Elephas maximus indicus: one gene and its partners. The protein of the gene in region 2 interacts with the protein of the main gene of each other region in a biochemical or structural test. Links are inferred from orthologs where the notes say so. Each region holds a gene or a part of one and is shown on either strand. Other genes may lie near its edges.

Region 1 (7,859 bases), on a different chromosome or scaffold from region 2:
ACGCCAGGCCGATGAGGAGATGACCGGCTATGTGGCCACGCGCTGGTACCGGGCACCTGAGATCATGCTCAACTGGATGCACTATAACCAGACAGGTGCCTGTCAGGGCCAGGTGGGAAGGCAGAGCTCACGGCAGGGCTGAGAGGTGAAGGGAGAGCAGGGGAGAGACGGGCTATGGACCCGCATCAGACACAGGCCTTCAGAGGGGCTAGACAGGTGCCTGTCAGGGCCAGGTGGGGAGGCAGAGCTCACGGCAGGGCTGAGGGGCGAAGGGAGAGCAAGGGGAGAGAGGGGCTATGGACCAGCATCAGACACAGGCCTTCAGAAGGGCCAGACAGGTGCCTGTCAGGGCCAGGTGGGGAGGCAGAGCTCACGGCAGGGCTGAGGGGCGAAGGGAGAGCAAGGGGAGAGAGGGGCTATGGACCAGCATCAGACACAGGCCTTCAGAGGGGCCAGACAGGTGCCTGTCAGGGCCAGGTGGGAAGGCAGAGCTCACGGCAGGGCTGAAGGGCAAAGGGAGAGCAGAGGAAGTGGTGCCCAGCCTTGGAGGAGAGACGGGCCGTGGACCAGTATCAGACACAGACCTTCAGAGAGCCCTGAGCCAGGGGTCAGGGGCGTTCCCTGGCTTCTGCAGCCAGCGCTAACCCCTCCCCCTGCCTACGGCTGAGAATAGAGGGAGAAGAGTCTGACTGCGTTTAGGCCTGGGGGTCTCCTGGGCTGCTGAGGTCCAGGAGCTCCCCAAGGAGGGACTTGGGGTGGGCAGACTGATGGAGGCCTCCCCCTCAACAGTGGACATCTGGTCTGTGGGCTGCATCATGGCAGAGCTGCTCCAGGGAAAGGCCCTCTTTCCAGGGAATGATTGTATCCTTGTCCTGGTTGGGGAGCAAAGTTGATTTGGGGTCCCCACCTGCCTGGAGGCTGGGGACAGGGAGGGAGGTGGACTCTGGCCCTCCCTGGTTGGTCTTGCCCACACTGCCCCCACTTTGCACCATGGGCTCACTGTGTCCAACTGTAGGAGAACAGGTTCTGGGCAGTGTCCCCAGGCCTGGGTCTGGGGGCTTAGGAAGGTCCAGGCCTGGCCGGTGGTCATTTCCTGAGCGAGGCAGACATTGACCAGCTGAAGCGAATCATGGAGGTGGTGGGCACGCCCAGCCCTGAGGTTCTGGCAAAGATATCCTCTGAGCACGTGAGCCTGGCCCCTCTGCTGACTGAGCTTAGGGCATCTGGGGAGGGGGACACAGAGTGGGAAACAGGCTGGGCTCTATATGGGGAGCACGGGCCACTGAAAGGTAGAGTCCGACCCCTTCGGGGATGAATGGGTGCGAGTGGGGAAGACAGTCCTGCACAAGGTTCTGAAGGCACGGAGGCAGGCGAGGAGGTGCCACCAGATATGCTGGGGAGGCCTCAGGTCTCCAAATGCCCTTGCCTAGGCCTTTGCTCTGCGGCCCCTGCCCCGCTTGAGGCCAAGAGGATAGGGGGTGGTCCACTCCCTTAGGCCTGCCTGTGTGCCCCCAGGCCCGGACATACATCCAGTCCCTGCCCCCCATGCCCCAGAAGGATCTCCGGAGCATCTTCCAAGGAGCCAACCCTCTGGGTGAGGACAGGATCAGGGTGGGGCTGGGTTCCACTCCTGGCAGGAGGCGGAGCTGACATCCTCCCTAACTCTGGTGCTCTGCAGCTGTGGATCTCCTGGGAAGAATGCTGGTCCTGGATAGCGACCAGCGGGTCAGTGCAGCCGAAGCCCTGGCCCATGCCTACTTCAGCCAGTACCATGACCCTGATGACGAGCCTGAAGCCGAGCCCTACGACGAAAGTGTGGAGGCAAAGGAACGCACGGTGGAGGAGTGGAAGGGTGGGCGCTCGGGATCTTGGGGTAGAGGCCGGGCGGTGCCCATTTTTGCAGGGAGCACCCCAGCTTTTCTCCAGGGCGGTCCATAAGGAGGGACAGCACAGCCCCTACCCCAGATGGGACAGGCAGAGATGGGTGGGGGTGTTGAGCAGAGGCATGGGGGCGGCACAGGCTCTGGAGAGAGGTGCAGTGTGGAGCCTGCTCTCAGAGAGCATCAGTGCCCAGGCCTGTTGGGTGGGGCTGGCTGGGTGGCAGGTGCCAGATGCACAGGAGGTGGGGTGGGCTGGGCCAGGGGTGGCACAGTATCACCGGGTGCTCCTTCCTCTCTACCTCCGCCAGAGCTCACCTACCAAGAAGTCCTCAGCTTCCAGCCCCCAGAGCCAGTACAGCCGCCTGACAGCCTGGAAATTGAGCAGTGAGCTGCTGCTGGCCACGCTCAAGCTCATGGAAGGGGCTTGAGCCTGCCCCTCCTCAGAACACTGGCTTCCTGTGAGGGGTGCCTCCCAACACCCCTAGGGCCCGGCAACCCTGACTCCTAGCCTGGGACTCCTCAGCCTGCACGCTGCACCTAGAGGGAGGCTGTACACATATGTCGGAACATAGGAAAATGTGTGCACACATGCGTGCCATGTCCCTGGGCCTATGGTGGTGACCTCCTTCCGGCCATCTGGGGGCTTCACAGTGGGGGACTTGAATGCCCAAGAGGCTGCCTGGGGAGTGTGCCTGTCTCTTCCTCTCCTCTGTGTCCCAGAGAGCTGTACCTGGGGATGGGGTTGGGGCAGGGGCCCCTGACACTTAAAGGGACGGGTCTCATTGGTCAGAGCTGCTCAGCCAGGAAGTAGAGGCCAAGAGCTGGGGTATGGCCAGTGCCCCACCAGGCTCGAAGTGTCCTCCCTGGGGGGCAGAAGAGCTGCCTTGTGCCTGCATGAGGGCCTGTGCAGTGTGGGCACACGTGCGTGAATGTGTTCCTTGTGAGGGAGCGTGTGCAGGCCTGTGCAAGCATGCACTGGCATGTGTGAACCTGCAGGCTCCCAAGGCATCAGCCAGGACCAGTGGGAGGCCAAAGTGAGGGTGGCTGGACTATTGCCCACCTCTCCCCTGACAGTTCCTGATGCCATGAGGGGCCCCGACACCCTACTGTGCCCCATGTAAGGGGCTCAGACAGCTGAGGGACACCCATTGTGCTTTCCCTGCCCAAGGGCAGCTATGGCAGGTTTCTGAGGCAAGAGAGCACAATGCCAGCTGGGGACCAGGGGTGGGGAAGAGGCAAGTGTCCAGCCTCAAGGCCTGACACAACGGGCGGTGCACACATGGGTGTGAACTTGGATACAGATGCTCTGGTCCCTGAACCTTGGCCCCATTCTGCCCCCTCTCCTGCATGGCCCTGCAGCCCAGGGCTGAGATTTTGGGCTCTGGGGCCACCCCCATCCCTTCCTCCTCCCAGCATGGAGCTGACCCCAAGAGCCTCTGGGAAAAGGACCCTGCTTGGAGGCTGTGGATGGTGTGATTCCTCCCTGGTGGGGCCTCTGCATCCAGGGGACTGGTGGTGACTTCCTACCTCACGGGCCCTGGAGAGGTCTGGATGTGAAGTGCCTGCTCACAGGGTGCTCAATAAAGGGGCTCCCTCTTGCTCCGCTGGTGTTTGAGGCTCTAGGCCCTGTTTCCTGGGTCCCCACCACCCAGAGGGGGTGGGGCACAGGATTCCTTTCCTGCCTGGCTAGTGACAGCGCCACCTGCAGTGTGGACAGTCTGCAAGAGAAAGGCGGCCCCTTTCAACCCACACCAGGCCTGCCCTTACCACTCACTGCAGCTCACATGTAGGGGTCGGGGTCTGGGCTCTGTCAGGGGTCCCCAGGGGTCAGGGACAGCCTACCTTACCCTGGGCCTCAAGTGGTGGAGGACCATGTGGTCAGTGAACCTGCACAGCCTCAGGTCCCAGGATGACAGCCAAGTCCAGTGTGTGTTGGGAGGAACAGACACAGAACTGGGACACTGCCTCACCTCTGGGAGGATGGCGGCACCCAGAGGGTACTTTCTAGAGGAGGTGAGGGTGTGGTGGCCATGCTGCCTTCACAGGAGCAGCCCTGGCACATGAAGACTGTGTCTCTGGGCTGGGCCGGGCCTCAGGCTGCCTGAGCTCACCGCCTACTCGTGAACGCCCGGATCACCAGGCGTAAAGCTGCTTGGCCAGGCTTGAGGCTTGAGGCTCTGAGCTGCTGATTCATGGCGGGCAGGCGGGGCACTGAGGGCGGGGTAGTGGGCATCAGGATCCTGTTACCTGTCCTCAAGTCAGCTCCTGGGGGGACCCCACGCTCCCTCTTCAGACCCTGGGGTTACTGGACTGGGGGAGAATGTCAGGGGTGGGGGGGTCCAGTCAAAGATGGGGCCAGACCATGCCTGACTATACCCATGCTGAGCAAAGGCAGGGAGCAAGTGCTCCCCAAGTCAGGTGGGGGGGCTGGGAGCTGAAGGTGTCTGTGGGGCCTACAAGGTGGGCCTGGAGGTCTGGAGAGCGCGGGCGGGCTGGGGAAGAGGTGTGGGGGGATCTCAGGGAGACCTAGAGACAGTGACCACAGGGATAGGTGTTGGGGTTGCAGCCTGTAAAGTTTTGTCGACAAAAGTGAGCCCTTCCCCTAAGGATGAACCAGCCCCAGGGGTGGGGGCATCCTGGGTGGTGGAGTAGGGAGTTGACATCAGGAATGCAGAGCACAAGAGGCCGTGGGGGATGGGGGAGAGGGCTTGGCGTCAGGCAGGCTGGTGGACAGTGACCACCGGAGGTGGGGGTAGAGGTTAGGGGCCCAGGCCGGCCAGACAGGGCCCAGGGGGCTGTGTATAGAGGAGTAAGGAGCACACTGGAACCCCGCGGGCCCCAGAACCCGGGCTGAGCGCCACGCCGGGCCCAGCTCCCCCTGTCCCCCACCCCGCAGTCCCTGGCCCCTCCCCGCGGCCGCCTCAGGTTTCCGGAGGGCCCAGGCGGGGCCGTCACGTGCGCTGGGCCCGTGGGCCGGTTGGTCCGCGGGTGAGGGACAGGCAGTGCGCCGTTGCAGCCGGGTCGGGGTCGGGGTCAGCGGCTTGGGGGTGTCCGGAGGGCAGCGACCCCAAGGGAAGAGCCGGAGTGCCCCGCGGACCGACGCGCCAAGGAACCCCGCCGATCGGCCCGAGCCCCGGCCGGCGCCCGCGGCGGGGTGGGCGCGGGACAGCCATGAGCTCCCCGCCACCCGCCCGCAAGGGCTTTTACCGTCAGGAGGTGACCAAGACGGCGTGGGAGGTGCGCGCCGTGTACCGGGACCTGCAGCCCGTGGGCTCGGGCGCCTATGGCGCCGTGTGGTGAGCGTGGCCGGCGGGCTGGCACCGGGTGGCCGGAGGGGTGGCCTGGCCCGCACTGAGCGGCCTGCCTCGCAGCTCGGCCGTGGACAGCCGCACCGGCGCCAGGGTGGCCATCAAGAAACTGTACCGGCCCTTCCAGTCAGAGCTGTTCGCCAAGCGCGCCTACCGCGAGCTGCGCCTCCTGAAGCACATAAACCACGAGAATGTGAGTCGGGAGTCACCGCCCCCCCACCCCCACCCCCGTGCGGGAGTGGTGGAGGCAGGGAGTGGTGGAGGCAGGGCACGACGACAGCGCCCAGTCAGTGCCTGACGAGGGGCCGGGCAAGCGTGGGCAGTGGGGGCCTTGCACTCCTTGGCCACTGGACTGTCTTCCAGGGTCTAGGCCTCCTCCTGAGCTGGTCCCTGCAGAGAACTCAGCTCCTGGCCTCTCCTAGGGGCTGCCCGCATCTGGCTCCCAGGCCCTGGTCTGGGGCATTGTGTGGGTCTCACCCCAAACCCTGCCTCCAACCCAGGAGCCTCTGCTGAGAGGAGACACTGCAGGTGGGAGGAGCATTTTTCCTGGAAGGGGCACTTTTCCAGGGGGCACCCCTGATGGTTCCTCTTTAGGCTCCACTTAGCTCCCACCCCATCTCTTGAACCCGCTCTGCTCCTGGGCTCATCACCTCAGCCTCGGTGTCTTGGTAAGGTGAAGGGTTTAGGGAGCTGGTGGGGGAGAGCACCTGGCACCAGGCACAGTCCTGGCACAAAAAGGGCCATCCTTCCTGCCTTGGCCTTCGGAGGAGGAGCCAGGCCCTGCCAGGGAAAGACCTTCCGTTGTTTCTAAGCCTGTCCCTGGGACACCACAGGTGGCTGCCCTGTCTCTGAGGCTGGTGGCTAAGAGCCCTTCTCCCTGCCAGGGCTCTCTCCGCAGGCTGTGAGGTCACTCAGTGCTCCTGACTGATGCTCTGGACCCTCCCGCGTCCCCCAGCAGACTCTCCCCTGACTCCCAGACGCTGCCTGCTCTGCCCCATTGTCTCCCACCCTGGCCCTGGGCTCCCTGGCCCCTCAACTTCCAGTCACACTCCCCAGCCCAGGCTTCAGCCAGCTCCACCCAGCAGCCTCTCCCCCGTCACCACTTTCCACTCTGGGGCCTGTAGTTGTGTCACCTCATGGCCCTGACCCTGCTCCAGCACCCTTCTCGGGCGGTAGCCCCACCTTGCCAATAAGGATGCTGTCTGCTGTGCTGGCTGTCCCCACCATGCCATCAGGCCCATCCAGCTGCACCCCCACTTTCCCGTGAGGAAGCTTGGGCTCTGAGGTGTAGTGGTGTGTGAAAGAGCAACTATTGACCTGGAGGCCAGTCCCTTCAGGCCTCCCCATCCTAAAACCCCACGCCCTCCTGCCACCATCCACCCGAGACAGACACGGAAGTCCTCCACCAGGGGTCTGTTCCCTGTTCTCTTCTTGCTAAACACTGTCTGTCCAGGTGGTACCCTCAGGCCATCAGCTCTCAGTGCTGCACCTGCGGGCTCCATCTGCGCCCAGGCCTCTCTCTTGGGTCGCCCATGTGTCCGGTGTGGACCCATCTCTGATCAGGACCCTGCCCCTTCCCCTCTCCCATGCCCCTCATCAGCCTAGGTCACGCTTGCCCTCCCCCAACATCCAGGCACCCAGCTGGCATCTCCTCCCCCACCCTCATCCCACCTCTGGTGGTTGCAGGGGTCACCAACTGTCCTCCACCCTCCTGTCCACTCTTGCTTCACTCCAGTCTGTCCCCACACAGCGGGTGGAGAACTGTTTCACACCTTGCCCCCGTTTAAAACACTCCCTGGGCAGATTTTAGGATCAAAGCCAGGTCTTCACTTGGCATGCGAGGTCCTGCCTGACTTCTTTGGCCTGGGCCCTGGCCACTTGGCCTTCCTCCTTGTGTTCCTCAAAATCACGAAGCGCTCTTCCTTCCTCCTCGGGCCACACGCTCCAGGCCTCTGCCGGCTACCCCTGCTACTCCTCTACCTGCCCCTCCACCACTCAGGTTGGCTGTCCTCCCTGAGCCGGAGGCCTCCCTGAGCTGGGGCAGCAGCAGCCAGTTTACCTGTTGGCTGTCCATCTCCCTGACGGGCTCCGCAGGGCTAGGCCTGCTCTCAGATTGTTCACAGCAGTACCCACCTGGGTCTGGGGAGCACCTGCTGGACACTGCTGTTCCCTAAGTGGTCACCAGGCTGGAGCCCCTCAGATGGCTTGTAGCCATCCCAGACTTGGGGTGGCCCCTCCCTGGAGGATCCTGGCTGTCACCATCCAAAAATAGCCTGTATCTGTGGGCCTGGGTGCCAGGGCTGGGCCATGCTTTGAGGGGCAGAGCAGCCCTGTGGATGTGGGGGGAGGTGGACAGCTGTAGGGGGGTTCCTGCCCGGAGCCCAGGGCCAGCTTGGGGAGGTGCCATGATCCGACCCCACTGGCTCTCGGCCCTCTCCCCCCAGGTGATTGGGCTGCTTGACGTGTTTACTCCCGACGAGACCCTGGATGACTTCACAGACTTGTGAGTGGCCAGCTGGACGCTGGGGGTTGAAGGGCGCAGGGCAGCTCCTGGATTCTGGGTTAGCATGGGGACTTCTGCCTGCTTGCCTCTCTCTGCAACCCTGACAGGGGCCAGGGCACACACCACCCACCTTCGCTACCCTGCAGTCCTTTCCTCCAGCCCCCTGCC
Region 2 (7,565 bases):
TAATGATTTAATATATACCATGAGATATAAAAAGACTAGCATATGGTTTGTTTCAATAACAGGCTGTTATAGACTAGATGTGAAAGAAATGGAATTCAAAAAGAGAAGGCAGAGGATAAACATCTAACTACTTGGGGCCACCATGAGTTGGAATCGACCCAATGGCAACCGTCAACAACAACAACTTGACTATTCTGCCTTGGCTTAGCCCTGCTCCCGCAAAAGTCCCCACTACAAAATTCTAAACACAGTGAGCCATGAAATAAATCCTCTCACCTGAATGACTGGCTGGTAGATAGTCTAGGCAATAGTCTTTCTAGTTTACCAAGGGCCCACCTGGGGAGTGGCAATGCAGAGTGCTTCCCAACCAATTGATGATGGACCTGTTGGCTGTCTGGGGCACATCAGAGAAGAAAACATCTGCTCAGCCTTCCATTCATGCATTGTTCCTCAGCCTTAGAACTTCACCTCTAAAATAAGAATCATTACCTCAGTATTATGATTTAGAATCTGGAGGGTGGTGATTTCCATATGCCTTTCACACTCAGCACACTCTCTGTGAACGTATCTGTCTTCCTGTCTTAATCGTGTTTGCATTCCTGGGTGCACCTGCTTCCAGCACCTACCTTAGTCCTTTACGAGAGTAACCTGTTGCCGTCAAGTCGGTTCCAACTCATAGCAACCCTATGGGACAGAGTAGAGCTGCCGCACAGACTGCGGCATCTTTCCCCTGAGGAGCAGCTCGTGGGTTTAAACTGCCAAGTTTTTAATTAGCAGCTGAGCGATTAACCACTGTGCCACCAGGGCTCCTGGTAAAGGTTTAGTCAACAGGTATTGACACAGGCAGGCCTTGCCTTAGGAGTTTTGCTTTCCAAGCATCCCTCCTGTTTTTTTCTCATGCTGTTCTCTAATTTACACCCAGCTATCCAAAAAAAAAAAAAAAGTACTCCATTTCCTCTTCTGCACTATTCACCTCGTATCCACTCTTCATACCATAGATTTGAAAAATCTCCCCTAAAGATGTTCGACCAACTCTTCATTCAAAAGTGCCAAAAGTACAATGATCATATTTTGCAAATCTAAGTACTGGAGGACATGTTCAAACCAGTAGAAGTTTACTTAAGGGCTAAGAGAAAGCAATATTTGAAGTCGGGACTGTCCCTGAAAATCCAGTGTGGTTGCTGAAGCTTGAAGGGAACAAGCAGATGGCCTGTGTGGTTATCCTACAAGGCGTTATCTATGTGATCTGGTCCAGCCCATCTCCTGATCTCCTCTCCTGCCTTCATCCTCCTCCCATGGGCTGTCCTAGCCAGTCTGACCTCCTTTTGGTCCTTTAAACCAGACAAGGGTGGTTCTGTCTCAGCTGCTTTGCATTGGGTCTTCCTTCTCCCTGGAAGCCTCTTCTCTGGATTTCCACCAGACTTCCTTCAGCTTGTGATTCATGTCTCAGTCCAATGGCACTTTCTCATAAAGGCTTTCCTGACAGCCATAGCCCCCAGGAGCCCTTGCCCCCAGTCACTCTCGATCCTGTTACTCTGTTTTAGTTTCTTCATGGCATTTACTTCTACACGGAAGTATTTTATGTATGCATCTACAGTCTGTTCCACTTCCACTCTACCACCCACCGCAACGTGAGCTTCGGGGAGCAGGTTGTTGCCCATTTGTCTGCTGCCAAATCCCAGCACCTAAAACAGTACCTGGGACATGTAGGTGCACAACAGGACTGTGGAATAAATGGGTGTAGACTGCTCCTTCTGCCACATGCTGCTGTTCTCTCATGCACCCTTGGCCCCCGTGAAGCTGAGGATTGTGTGACCTGCTCCTCAAGTCTAAGTCCACCCAAAACCTGTGAGAAAATGTCTGTCCCACAGAAAAAGGTATAGCAGGATCCTGGTTCTGGCTGGATGGAAAGGGAAGTCAAAAGCTTAGGACAGAAGAAGGACACAGAATAGGAAACAGGCCTAAGCAAAAACAAACCTGGTTTAAAAAAGGGGGACAAAGGTGATTCCAGGTATATTTTTTGGAATAGTGAAGTTGGAGTGGTAGTCAGGGTAACCCAGACCTAGGCTTAGCTTTGCCACAAACATACCATGTGGCCTTGAGTTGGTATTGCCCTCTCTCATCATATATGCACACCTTATAAAATGAGGGAGTTGAGGTCTCTTAAGTTCTTTACAGTGACCATTTTTTAAAAGGGAAGAGCATTGTTAGCTGCTGTTGAATCACCCTGACTCATGGTGACCCCTTGAACAATGGAATAAAACACTGCCCGGTCCTGCATCATCCCATTGATTGTTTGGGAATCGGACTATTGTGGACCATGAGGTTTTCATTGGCTGATTTTTTGGAAGTAGATCACCAAGCCTTTCTTCCTAGTCTGTCTCAGTTGAGAAACTCTGCTGACACCTGTTCAGCATCATAGCAACTTGCAAGCCTTCACTAACAGACAGGTGGTGGCTGTGCGTGAGGGGCGTGGGCTGGGAATTAAACCCAGGTCTCCTGCATGGATGGTGAGGATTCTACCACTGAACCACTAAGGCCTCACAAGAGAGTATAATCTGTCCTAAGTGTAAGTATCATGGGGCCACAGTGAAGCAGCCCCCCAAGAATTAAGAAATGAGGTAAATACTGTTTCCCTTTGAGAGTCGGTGTTAATAATCAGGGTCCAGATACGCAGAGTGGTCTGCAGGACAAGACATGGCCTCTAAGGCCAGAAGGACAGCAGTCGCCAGTATCAATGCATCAGCGTGTCTAAAAAAAAAAAAAGTGTCAATAACGTGTCCTCTAATATTGGAAAGAAGAGGTCATGGAAACTGCTGGCTCTACTCTTCCACATACTGCCTGGAGAAGGGGCTTTCACCCGTGGTGCTTTGTCCCCAGTGGAAAGGCTGGCCTTGTGTACAGATGGACATAAAGGCTGTAGCTGACATGTTCTGAGTATTTTCAAGAAACAGCGTAGGACAATGGTGAAGAGTCCAGACTCTGGAGTCAGACTGACTGGCTTTAAACCTTGGCTTGCACTTGCTACACGACAGGGACAAGTTGTTAAACCTCTCCATATCTTCACTGGCAAAATGGGAGTGATGAAGGTAATAAGTACCTCCTGGGGTTGCTGGGAGGATTAAGTAAGTTCATATAACTATACGTATTAAGTTAATATAACTACACATATTAAGTTAATATAACTATAATACTAAGTAAGTTAAAAAAAAAAAAAAAAAGTAAGTTAGTACTTATTAACTTATTTAATCCTCCCTGGAACTCCAGGAGGTACTTACTATCTTCAGCACCTTGAACAATGGCAAAGCCATCTCTGGCTAAGATGCATGTCTCAGGCCTAATTTATATTAAATAACAGACTCCCCTCATTCTGGTGCTACTTTCAATAAGCAACCTACCTCTTCCCATGCAGGTTTCCTTCCACAGGGGAAAAAAATGTGTTAATCATAGAGATGCTGAGGATTTCCCAACCCAGAGCCTGTAATTTCTCATGACAAATCAATAAATTATCTCTGCTTGTGCCTAGGCCTCCCACATTGCTTGTCCACAGGGAGCAGATGCAGACACGACGTTGACGGCAGCTTTCTGGTCCAGGGTCGGCTTTCTTTGGATTTCTAAATAAACACACTGGCATTCTAGTGCCTACTCCCATCTTCCCTTGCTTTGGTTAGAAGACAAGCGCTCAGGCTTTAATTTTCCCTGAACAGTGATGTGTATGAGTCCGAAGCTTCTACGGCAAACCCTAGCTGACTTTCCCCGGACAGTGGTACTGCCTACATCAGCTCCCTGCTGATCCTGCACACGGAGGGCTAAAGGGTCCTTGTGGCTGCTGTCCCTGCTGTAGGGGGCCTTTGCACGAAAGAATAAAGAGCCTTGGAAAACCAGCTGGTTAAAAAACTATAGAAAAGGTGGGAGCTCCAAGCAGAAGTAGCCATCCAAAGGCTCCTCCTTGTCAGTCTGCAGTGCTTCTCCCAGCTCAAAAAAAAAAAAGGTTCATTTTCTTCTGTGACCCTGCCTGCAACTCCATGCTTTAGAGATTCGTCTCAGTTTTAAGCATCCTTGATTAAAAGAGTAACTCTTGGAAGGGTCCGAGAACTTCCAATGATGCTGCTACACGTCAATGTGAACCTGTTCTATGAGGCTTCTTCCTCCTGACACCTTGCTTCACCGGGTTTAACCCTGAGGAACTCACCGAATTGCGAGTTATGTTTTGTTATTGCAGAGAGGGGAGAGAAATGTAGGAAGGGGAGATAAATAAGAAGTGTGGAACACTTTGACAGGCCCACGAGGCTTGCTTTGGGTGGGTGGAGAACCAGAGAGGTTCAAGGTCCTGTGGCCCCCCTGCCAGGAGGACATTGAGAGGTTGGCTATAACATGGGTTATGTTGGCTTTTCTGGATTGGCCTGGAAAGGTAACCAATAATTATAATATTGTTACTCTAGAAAGACAATGGTTTAGCTCCAAGCAAGTAACCTGTAAAGGAACTTTTGAGATACAACCCACTGCAACTGAGTTCTTAAACTGGGAGACTTCCTGTACTGGATCTTGGGAAGAAAGTGAAAGCTCCAGAAGGCATTTGGTGTGGCCCTGGGGGGAAAACACAGATCAGAAGCGCAGACCATTTAATGTGTTAGAGATGGACGAGCATTTCTCCTTGGAGTCTGGGGCAGGCAGTGACCTGCTGGAGCCCAGGCCAGCAGAGACTCCTCTCCAGAGGCCGGGTAAGAAAGATATCCCACATCTAAGGAGAGGAGGCGTAGGACGCTCGATTCTACTGACGTTTCACTCTGGGTTCTTGGAATAGCCTTCTCTCCTTACATTTTTTTCCTTACTCTCAGGGAGCCCAGGGCCTCGGTTTGCCTTCCTCCTGACTCCTTGAGGAGAGACGAGCCAGGTAAGAACTTAGCAGAGGAGGCAAGCCTCGGTTTGAGGAAGTCAGAGAGAGGAGACCGGTTCAGGTACACTTGGGGGAAGGAAAAAAAAACAAAAAACAAAACTAGGGGACAATTCCACATTGGTGTGAAAGGGAAGCGGGATCAGGAGGATGGAGTGAAAGTGCTCAGGCAAGACACACAGATCCGGCAAAGCTGCGAGGTGGGGGCCTGAGGAGAAGGGAGAGTTGAGGACGGAGGGCTGGGACCGGGCAGAGAGAAGTGGGACTGGGAAGGCGCGCGGGAAGCGGTCCTCGCCGTCACGCGGTCCGAAGGGGAGGCGGACCGAGTCGGAGCCGGCGGGCGACCGCTGAGCTGCGGCGCTGGAACAGGTGAGCGGCTGCCTGGCAGTCCCCGCCCTTCCGCGAGCGCGCCTCCTCCTGCCACTCTCCCCGCGCGCGCTTCACTGTGCCGCGGCGCCCCTGGGTTTGGGGTTTTGCAATTGAGAGCGGTTTTTTTCCCCCCGTCTCTTTCTCGCCTTCTTCGTTTAGAGGCTCCACCCCGCCCAGGATCAGGCGAGGGGAGTGAGCCCGGCTCCAGCTGCCAACTCGCGGAGCGCGTCTCCGAGCTCCCGGAGCGGAGTCCCGCGTCCCGCCTCCTGACCGCGGGCGCGCCCTCTGCGCTCCCCCAGGCCCAGAGTCCAGCCCCCGCCCCACCCTTCCCCACTTTTCCCCGCTTTGCAATCACATGGCATTTTAAGAATGCCGGAAAGATGGCGGTAGCGGCGGCGGCGGCGGCGGCGGTGACGACCGGGCCGGCGGGCGCGGGAAGCGGCCGGGCGCAGCGGAGCGGACTGCTGGAAGTTTTGGTGCGGGATCGCTGGCACAAAGTTCTGGTGAACTTGAGTGAGGACGCCCTGGTTCTGAGCTGCGAGGAGGGCGCGGCGGCATACAACGGCCCCGGGACCGCCACCAATGGCTCGTTCTGCAGGGGCGCCGGGCCCCCGGGCGCGGGCGGCGCGCAACCCCCGGACTCGCCAGCGGGGGTCCGCACTGCCTTCACCGACCTGCCCGAGCAGGTGCCCGAGGCTATATCGAACCAGAAGCGCGGCGTGAAGGTGCTGAAGCAAGAGTTGGGCGGACTGGGCATCAGCATCAAGGGGGGCAAGGAGAATAAGATGCCCATCCTCATCAGCAAGATCTTCAAGGGGCTGGCGGCGGACCAGACACAAGCTCTGTACGTGGGCGACGCCATCCTGTCGGTAAACGGAGCTGACCTGCGGGACGCCACCCACGACGAGGCGGTGCAGGCGCTGAAGCGCGCGGGCAAAGAGGTGTTGCTGGAAGGTAAGGGGTTAACACGGCGTGGGATGCGCCAGGCGCGCCCACACCCACCGGCACACTCACACCACCCACAGGCTCTCACATCCCGGGAGCATGGGGAGGACAGGTGGCCAGGAGTTTCGACAACTTTTACCCACCTGGGGGTAACTTCTCCAGCGCCTAGAGTGGTGACAGGCTTTGACCCAGTGGGTGTGTGTGAAAAGGCAAGGCTAGCAGGGTGTACTGAGCCCCGACTGCGTGTCACGCACGGGCTGAGTGCTTAGTGAACGCTGTCTCATTCTACCTGGGAATAATCCGAGTGTAGTGGAGAGGCTGGGAACTGGAACGGGAAGCGAAGGGTAGACTCAGACACATTCACCCATCCACGTAGCAAAGTGGGTCCAACTTTTCCGCTTTAACGAAAATTTCCCTCTTAGAAGCCTGGGTAACCCAACTGAAAGAGGTTGAATCATAAAGAGGCCAGAGAGAGGTGGCAACGTTAGAATGCTAAAATTCCAATCACTCTTCTCCCTGTCTCTCCTGCAAATTGGACACTGGGGTTATGCCTAGGGAGTTGTGCCAAGGGCTGAGGAATACGGCGCAGTTTTATGCACCAGTTCACTTGTCCTGCAGGGTGCCGGGCCGGTCAGTCTGGATTCCAGGTTGCTCTGGCTGGAGAAGTGGTTTTTTTTTCTGCCTGCATTTTCCCCGGCTTGTTTTGGAGTGGTGTGGAAACAACATTGCATTTCTAAATAGCTTCCCCGACTTGTTAGGCGCCTTAGAAACTTCTGTCATGAGATCAGAGGCTCCCAGTCCCCTAAGGATTGAATATGAATAGGATAGGAATAACAGTTTAATGTTTGTGGATATGTGGAAGAGAAGGGCAATAGGGTAGTAAACCCATAATTCATTTTCCTTCCCTTTGCAGATACATTGCTCATTTGGAATCTGGCTCTCTGCTCCTCGGCTCTTTGTACATACCTCCTCTGTCAGCACTAACCTTGTATTCTTTTAGTTCCTTACCCAGCCACCCCCTAATTTGAGATTGAGTTGTCTGGGGGTCTTTTATCTGTTCTGGGCCTCCCTTGAGCTTACGTGCTCACCAGCATGCGTGCTGAGTGAGTGAATAAATGAATGCCTAGCCACGGAAATAGAACATGTCAGCAGCGACTTTGTAAACTGGTGGTTGATTGAAGTCCTGAACCAAGGACATAAATCAATTTCCTGCTCACCTCGTGGCAGTGCTGGTGTGTGAAACTGAGAAAGTTCAAAGTAGGGAAACCAACTTTGCTACGAGTGACAGCCAGTGCAACTCCCTGGTACATGGTGGCCCACCTCCAGGCCTAGAATACAGAGCTTTTTTGTTTGCTTG
Region 3 (7,715 bases), on a different chromosome or scaffold from region 2:
AGGCCTGAGGTAACTCTGCGTATTCCCCTCTAAAGCAAGAGAATTTTAAGCACTCAAGTAACCACGCTGATCAAAGCTAAATCCCTTAGGAAGATTATCCATTCTGAAATCAGGAAAATCCTGCAATGTAAGCACTTTTCTGCTCCACCTTTGTGAAAAGAACTTGATTTCTGCAACACTGTTTCAAACACACACACATACAACCCTCTAATGCTTGCAGGGCAGAAATAGGCAGCTGCAAACGTGTTTCTGCAAGCTGATGGCCCTCTCGAGGTGTTTCTAGCTCAGCTTGGGGACCATCTTTGAGCTCACACAGAAGAAAAGGAAGAACTCCTAGGGATGGAAGATTTGTTAATGGGCACATAAGCTCAGGACATGTGCACCTTCTCTTTAGAATCAACTCTCTATGGCATGACAGTAAAGATAGAAATTGAAATTCACACTCTCTCCCTAGAGTTTTTTTTTTATGCTAATCCCTCACAAACCCGCCTTGGGTTTTGCAAATGCTCAGATCTGTTAACACCATGAAGGCATCCTAGAATTTAGGAAACTTTGAGTCGAAAACCTCTTTTCTCTGACACCAGCACTGTCCTCTCCCAAGCTCCAAAGTTTAAGGACAAAACCTAGGCTCTAGATGTTTTGTTCAGCTTGCTGTTTTGAGTATCCGAGGGCACTGCAAACTATTTTGGTTACTTTATACTATTGGTTGAATGTCCCTTTTCCCTTCACCAATCTCTCTGTCCATCACACAGAGGGCTCCATGCACTTTCTAAACTTACCCGCAGTTATTTCGCATCCATGTGTGATTTAACAGCTGTTTATAAACCAGCCATGGGCAGAAGCACGCAGGAAGTGGTGTGACGCCATGGCTGTCTATGGTATCGGTGGGAAACCAAACAATGCTATACCACAATCACCCACTGCTTAACTCATGAGTCTTCTGATGTGTGGGAGCCTGGGGGCTCTAGGCAGATGTATTTACCCAAGTCTACCTACCCAGGGTAAGTGACCGTGGGGCCCTTTCCCTAGAGGAATCAGCTGGTGATATTAAGACTGACCAGTGTGAGTGGAGAGGGAAGGTGGAGACGAGCAGGAAGAATAACTAAAGACCTGTAGATGCTGGAGAGGGACATGTCCTACTGACAACATCCAAGCTTAATGTTTCTGAAATGGCCCAAATGTAATTTGGCAAAGCAAAGTCAACATACGTTTCTGACTCGGGGTATTTGAGGCTGCCTGTTCCTGCCTGATGCAATCAACACGGCCCACCCAACACTAAAGAATGAAGACAAACCTAGAATTATTCTGTCTTTCTAGCAGGTCTTTAAGCTGCATCCTGGTAAAACCCTACTGTCTACCTCCTAAGGTGGTGATGGTAACTGCTATAAAGAGCTCAGGGGCAGAAGGCCAGGCCTTCCAGGGACTTGGGCAGAGAAAGTTGGGCAGGGTTTTCGGAGACCTCTCTTACTGGGCTCTTCTCGTGTTGAGGCCACACTGCAAGCGGCAGACCTTCCTTCTTGGGCTCAGTGGAGACTTTGGAAGCCCAACTTAGAAACCTAAGCAGGGCAGAAGACTGAGGAGGAATGCTCTGACCAGATAATAGTAGCTAGGCGGTCCAAGAGTGGGAATGTACCTCCTCCTGTCAAGCCCTGCCCAGGAAATCTGCCTGAATCCAGGATTTTTCTTTGGTTTCCACAACACAGCCACTTGGAAACAAATTTCTAAATCTTTCAAAGCTGAGAAATATATAGTTACCCAGGGAAAGGCTTAAGGTCTTTCTCTTCTATCTCCATGACTTCATCATCTAGGTCACTGGTGGGAACACTCAACCTGAGTCAACCTACAAGTGGACTTTTTCGGGTGTGGACGTCTAATTTGGGGGTAAGGGGCGACAGGGACACTTTATGTTGCTGCTACTTGGAAGGCAGGTACCCAAGCTACAAGCACTCTGGGCTTGTCCTAGAAGCAGCAGCAGCAGCAACTACAACCATCTTTTCTTGGTCCTGAATTGCACATGTGACCCCAAGTACCACTGGGGCTTTTCCTAAGGGAAAACAAACTGTCGTGAAGATCCGTGTGTGCGTGAGCGCGCGTGGGTCTCTGCGTGTGCAGTCTATGCCCGGGGAACCAGTGAGAAATAGATTGAACGCTATAGCCCCTGGCCACGCCGTTCCAGTCCGATCTGAAGCCCCACTGTTGTCCCCAGCTTTTGCTGTTCCCCAAACCTCCCGCAAAATCAAGCGCCAAGTTGCCCGTGGTCGTGGCGGCCCCGGGTGCAAGCGAACCAGCGCGGATCCTACCTCGAGAGCTTTGCAATCTTCACAAAGCTGAAGACATCCATGCGGGCAGCCGGGGACTCCCGAAAGCGCAGCGCTGCTTCCGTTGCCCCTCCTCAAGACCGCAGCGGCCGCAGCGGCAGCCCCATGACCGGGACCTCGGCGCGCCCGGGGCTCGAGTGGCGGCGACGGCGGGTGGCGGCGGCGGCCCGGTTGAGCCGGCACCTGGAGGCGGCGGCTGCTACCCCCCTCCGGCCGGGAGCTGCGTGTGCATTCCGAGCAGGACCGTGGAGCGGCGCCGCGCCGGGAAAAGTCACTGGAGAGGGGCTGGGCGCGGGCGGGGGCGGCCGATCGTGCGCCCCGCCCCGTGCGCCCTGGCGGCGGGAGGCGAGGCGGCGCGGGGGTCCCTCCTGCTCCAGCCGCGACCCGTGCCCCGCGCTCCGGGGAGCGCAGATGCACTGGGAGGCGACGGGCTACTGGCGCGGCTCACGCACCCCTCGCAGCACTGCAGTTGCCTCCCCGCCGCCTTCCTGCCCGAGTCCCCGTTCCTGTCCCCACCCCCACAGCCCGGGGAGGGGGCACACGCTCCTGTCACCCTCTGTGTGCGCCTCTCGAGCGGCAAGATCGGCTCCAACAGTCTCTGGCACACTGAGGGCCCGCAAACGCCACCCCGCCCTCCCCAAGCCCGACGAGGGCCGGGCCACCGCAGTTTGCCCAAAGCCTCAGTGGGTTCCACAACCACCCGTAGCCCAGGCGGACGATCCGGGAGGGTGCAGGCAAGATCGCTGGTCCAAGGAAAGGGGAGGGAGATACCCAGCGCGGTGGGCGCGATTTGGAAAGCGCAGAGTTCTCACTGCCTTCCTCGACCTGCTGGGGCAAGACGTGCCAGCCCGGCCGGCTGGGAAGGAGTGTCTTAGGAATCAGCGCCAGGGGGGCGTCGGCGAAATCAAAACAATTAGAACCAGAGCCTTGTGTGTGTGTTGGGGGCGGGGGAAGAAGCGATAACAGCTAGAGGGGGACAGGCGAGCAGGGGGTCCCAGCAACCCGCGGTGGAGGGGGCGGGGGGGGCTCGTTTGAATGGGGGGCTCAGACTTATAGAGAAGGGATGAGAATGGGGTCTGGCCTGCAGACCTAGCTGCTTTTTCAGATTGAGCGGTGGGTGAAGAAGGAAACAAACAAAATACAAAACCAACCCTCGCCTGAAAAAAACGAAAGCAGAGAAAACGTAAACACTCACCTTAAGCAGAGTAAACTCCAACTTGCAGCCATTTAGCACACCTACCCCGCCTCCCCCTTCAGTAACTCAGTTCTGTCTCCCAGGAAGCCCCTCTCTCTTCTTTCTCTTGGAGTCTCAGGACCTCTTCTCCAAAATCCTTGCAGAATTTCCCCCAAGCTTCTCTGAAGGAAGGTCAGCTGGTCTCCCAAAATGTGTCTCCCACCCAGCAGCGTTCATCTGCCAGCAGGGCCACCGCAAAGAAACGCTGCCACCCCCGAAATACTGGAGGAGCTAGCCACAGCAGCTAGCTCTGGAGGGGATCAGGGAAAACAGAATGGGTTTAAAGTTCTCAGACTTCTGCTCCTCTTCTGGTCTGAGGCTGGATTGAAAGTCTTCAGTATTCAAGCCAGGTACTTCCAAGTTAAAAAAAAAAAAAGCAATTCTTTCAAAAATTAAACATAAAATAACTAGCAATCTGCAAAACCTAATGATTTAAAGCTCACAGGTACAATGCTTACCTTTTTTTTTTTTCTTGAAGTAAATGGAATCAATGTCCCTTGAGCTTCTTGTAGATAAACTATAATTTCATGGCTCAGAGGAGGCCAGGGGAACCTTGGCTTGTGAACCCCCTATTGTTTGTGTAAAATAATAATTATAGTTTGGGTCTGCACAGTGCTTGAACATTTTTAAAACAGTTCTGCAATTGAGTCTCATAGCAACCCTGTCATATAAGTAAGGCACATGTTGAAAAAAGAGAAATCTTTTATTTTTATGCCACAATCTATTTTCAATGTACTAGTCAAAGAAATGTTTTTTAAACGTGGGTCGGATAATGTTACTTGCTGGATCCAAGCCCTGCAAAAGCTGTCCATTCTCCTGAGAGCTACAGTTGCACCCCTACGATAACCAACAAGGTCTTAGTCACCCTGGCCCTTGATCTCTCTGACCCTATCTGACCTCCCTTCTTCTCTCCCCTCCCATCCTGCTCCAGCAACACTGGCTTCCTTGCTGCTTTTCAAACTGGGCAGGTATCCCGCCACGTTAGGCTCTTTGCAATGGCTGTTCCCTCTGCCTGGAATACTCTTCCTTCAGATATTTGCATGGCCAGCTCCTTCACCCCATCAGGCCTTTCCACAAATGTCGCCTCCAAAAAGCACCTCTGAAAAGCCTATCTGAAACTTCCAGGCCTGCATCCCCTGGCCTCTGAGTCCCCATGAACTGCTCCATTTTTTCCTGTTTCCTTTTTTTTTTTTTTATAGCACTTATCACCCACCAACACACTAGATAATTTATTTTTATGTTTATTGTTTCTTCTCTGATTCCTGCACTGGAATGAAAGCTCCACAAGGGCAAGGATGGATTTCACTGATGGGTCTCAAATGTCAAGGACAGTTCCTTGGATATGTTGTTGTTAAGTGCCGTTTGGACTCACAGAGACCCCATATGACAGAGTGGAACTGCCCCACAGGGTTTTCTTGGCTGTAATCTTTACAGGAGCAGATGGCCAGGTTTTTCTCCCACGGAGCTGCTGGGCGAGTTCAAACCACCGATCTCTTGGTTAGTAGCCGATCACTTAAGCACTGTGCCACCAGGGTTTCTTTCCTTGGATGTAGAAAGACCTTAATAAATATTTGTTGAATGGACAAATTTTATGTTCATCAGATTCTCAGACAAATCCAATCGGTCTGGCATCCCATCGGTGCTGCTCTGTCTCTGACCTCAGGGCTTATCTTTGCCCACGCCCCCCACCCCCAAACACACACACTCTTCCTTCCTCAGCAGCCTTCACTGTTTGCATGTCCTTTGAATTGCTAATGTGGCAATGAGGACACTCCCACATTCTCCAGTTCTTTTTTTCCTTCACTCTCTCTACCCCTTCCCAAAAGAGCGGCCACAGGCACTAGGAGACCAGTTTTGGATCAGGAAAGGGGGATGAAACAATGCCTTCAGAAACTGTATTTTGAAAAGTTTTTCCTTTTGAGAACAGAACAGTAGGGCTTTCTTCTTAAAAACATAATTCCATACCAAACAGCTAATCACCTGGTCGTGAAAATGACAAGAAATAGACATAGTGTTGACTTGTAGGGAGACAGACACCCTTCAAGACATCTGGTCGACCTGGAATAGCTTGCTGTTGGGCTTCTCCCCTCCGCCAATTTGTACAGTACAATTATTCACAGTGCAGATGCCCACTCTCCACAGCGTTACAGCCAGCGAGGGAAACGACTGGCTTCTCCAGTCCTTACACTCTTCTGATATATTAATGTTCTGGTATGTTTCTGGTGATCAATAGCTTTTCTTCTAAAGCAAAGACGTTCTGCCCCGCCTCCTTTGTTTCTCAGAGATGTAAAACTGGAAGTTCTGCTGCTCTGAAACACCATTAAGCCCTCTGAAAGAGATTTGAGTAGCTGTTCCATCAGCTCTAAGGAGCCCTGGTGGTGCCGTGGTTAAAGCACACAGCTGCTAACCAAAAGGTCGGTAGTTCAAAGCCACTAGCTGCTCAGGGGAGAAAGATGTGGCAGTCTACTTCCGTCAAGATTTATAGCCTTGGAAACCCTATGAGGCAGTTCTACTTTGTCCTATGGGGTTGCTATGAGTTGGCATCAACTGGACAGCAGTGCGTTCAGTCTGAGTTTTCTATCAGTTCTGACCTTCTCTGTACCAGGTGTGTGCGGCAGAGGTTGGAATATGTTTCTATGTCTAACATGAAATGAATCTCCCTAAAACAAAACAAAAAACCAATGAGTGGCACCTTGAGCAGATTTTCTGAAGTTTTTTTTTTTTAGTCTGGATAACCTCTAAGGCCCCTTCGATATTTTGTAGGAGGAAAGTGGTGGCTCAGTGATAAAATTTTCACCTTTCATGCATGAGACCCAGGTTCAATTTCTAGCCAATGAACTGCAAGGACAGCCACCACCTGTCAGGCGAGAAGCTTCCATGTTGCTGTGATGCCGAACAGGTTTCAGCGGAGCTTCCAGACTAAGATGAACACGGAAAAAAGGCCTGAAGATCTATTTTCGAAAACCAGCCAATGAAAAAACCCTGTGGATCACAGTGGTCCAATCCTGTTGTACATGGGGTTGCCATGAGTCAGGGTCCGACTCAATGGCGGCTAACAACAACTACGACATGCTTTGTAGAGGTTTTACTCATCAGGACCTCTATTACCCTCCTTGCAAATCTACTTAATTTGCCTTACTTGTATCCAAGAGACATTTGGCCATTTCTGAAAACCAAACACACTTTCAAAGACTGTTGAATTTACTCATGAATAAGAGACTCAAAGTCAACGGATCCAGAGTAAGTCACTTAACTTCTCTGAGACTCAGTTTCCCTGCCTTTAAAATGGAAATGATAATACATCCCTACCTTACCGAATGAGCGCTTGAATGTGGACACCAGTTCAGAGTTGGCACATGGATATTAGCTCCAGAAAGACATCCACACCTGTTTTGAGTCTTGGCAGCACTGTCACCAAAAGTTGCAGCCTCTAAAATCACTGCTTTGAAGATGACAATATTTGCTTGGATTGTTCAGATGTGGATATTTTTGCCACAATCATCGAAACCCTAAGCAGTGTTATTTTTTATGCTCTGGGAGAATTCTCAGGACAAAATTTTTTATGCTCTGGGAGAATTCTCAGGACAAAGAAGAAGGAGTTTCTTCTTCGTTAAGTTCTTACCTAAAGTTGATGTTGGGAATCTACTATTGGCCCAGATGTTTCATACGGGTTGGCAGCTAAGGGTCCTTTTGCTGCACGTTACAATAGAGAAAACTCTATGCCTTTTCCATTTGGACTGTAGCATCTCAACCATCTCGTTATAGCCCTGAAAACAGAAGTGAGTAAATAAAAGCATAGTATCCATTCATTTAATAAATATTCATGGAGTTTTTCCTTTGTACCAGGCACTGTCCTAAGGAAATATACCAGAGAACAAGGCATATTTCTGCTTTCATAGAACTTACATTCTAATACGGAGACAGACAATAAAAATATAAAATATCATATCATGAAGTATTACTTCCTTTGCCAGGACACCAGAACTGGATGGTGTCTGGCTACCATTACTGAATGTTTTGATCAAGGACTCAATACAATAGACGAGTCCTGATCAAAAAGAGGAAAAAGATGGAACAGAATTTCAAATTTCTTATAGAATCCAGACTTACAGGACCTATTGAAGCTGGAGGAAGCTCTGAATCTGTTGCCCTGAGAAAATTTT

The links. The genes of interacting proteins can lie anywhere in the genome.
Region 1: the proteins of SNTB1 (region 2) and MAPK12 interact in a test that uses a peptide from one of them, tested with the Homo sapiens proteins (2 studies listed by IntAct, with this or other methods). The link is inferred for Elephas maximus indicus from reciprocal best matches to the Homo sapiens genes SNTB1 and MAPK12.
Region 3: the proteins of SNTB1 (region 2) and FRMPD4 interact in a test that uses a peptide from one of them, tested with the Homo sapiens proteins (2 studies listed by IntAct, with this or other methods). The link is inferred for Elephas maximus indicus from reciprocal best matches to the Homo sapiens genes SNTB1 and FRMPD4.

The regions. Positions count from the first base shown.
Region 1 is NC_064822.1:196,610,089-196,617,947, reverse strand, and holds the start of MAPK12 (mitogen-activated protein kinase 12), read left to right. Parts: upstream 1-4,858; 5' UTR 4,859-5,051; coding exon 5,052-5,176; intron 5,177-5,251; coding exon 5,252-5,381; intron 5,382-7,632; coding exon 7,633-7,691; intron 7,692-7,859. Other genes in the region: MAPK11 (mitogen-activated protein kinase 11), read left to right, coding at 1-95, 790-861, 1,107-1,186, 1,516-1,594, 1,679-1,938. UniProt on the Homo sapiens protein: Serine/threonine kinase which acts as an essential component of the MAP kinase signal transduction pathway.
Region 2 is NC_064833.1:21,924,233-21,931,797, forward strand, and holds the start of SNTB1 (beta-1-syntrophin), read left to right. Parts: upstream 1-4,556; 5' UTR 4,557-4,721; intron 4,722-4,838; 5' UTR 4,839-4,894; intron 4,895-5,297; exon of another isoform or gene 5,298-5,422; 5' UTR 5,423-5,643; coding exon 5,644-6,217; intron 6,218-7,565. UniProt on the Homo sapiens protein: Adapter protein that binds to and probably organizes the subcellular localization of a variety of membrane proteins. May link various receptors to the actin cytoskeleton and the dystrophin glycoprotein complex.
Region 3 is NC_064846.1:167,817,110-167,824,824, forward strand, and holds the start of FRMPD4 (FERM and PDZ domain-containing protein 4), read right to left. Parts: upstream 3,002-7,715; 5' UTR 2,342-3,001; coding exon 2,301-2,341; intron 1-2,300. UniProt on the Homo sapiens protein: Positive regulator of dendritic spine morphogenesis and density. Required for the maintenance of excitatory synaptic transmission. Binds phosphatidylinositol 4,5-bisphosphate.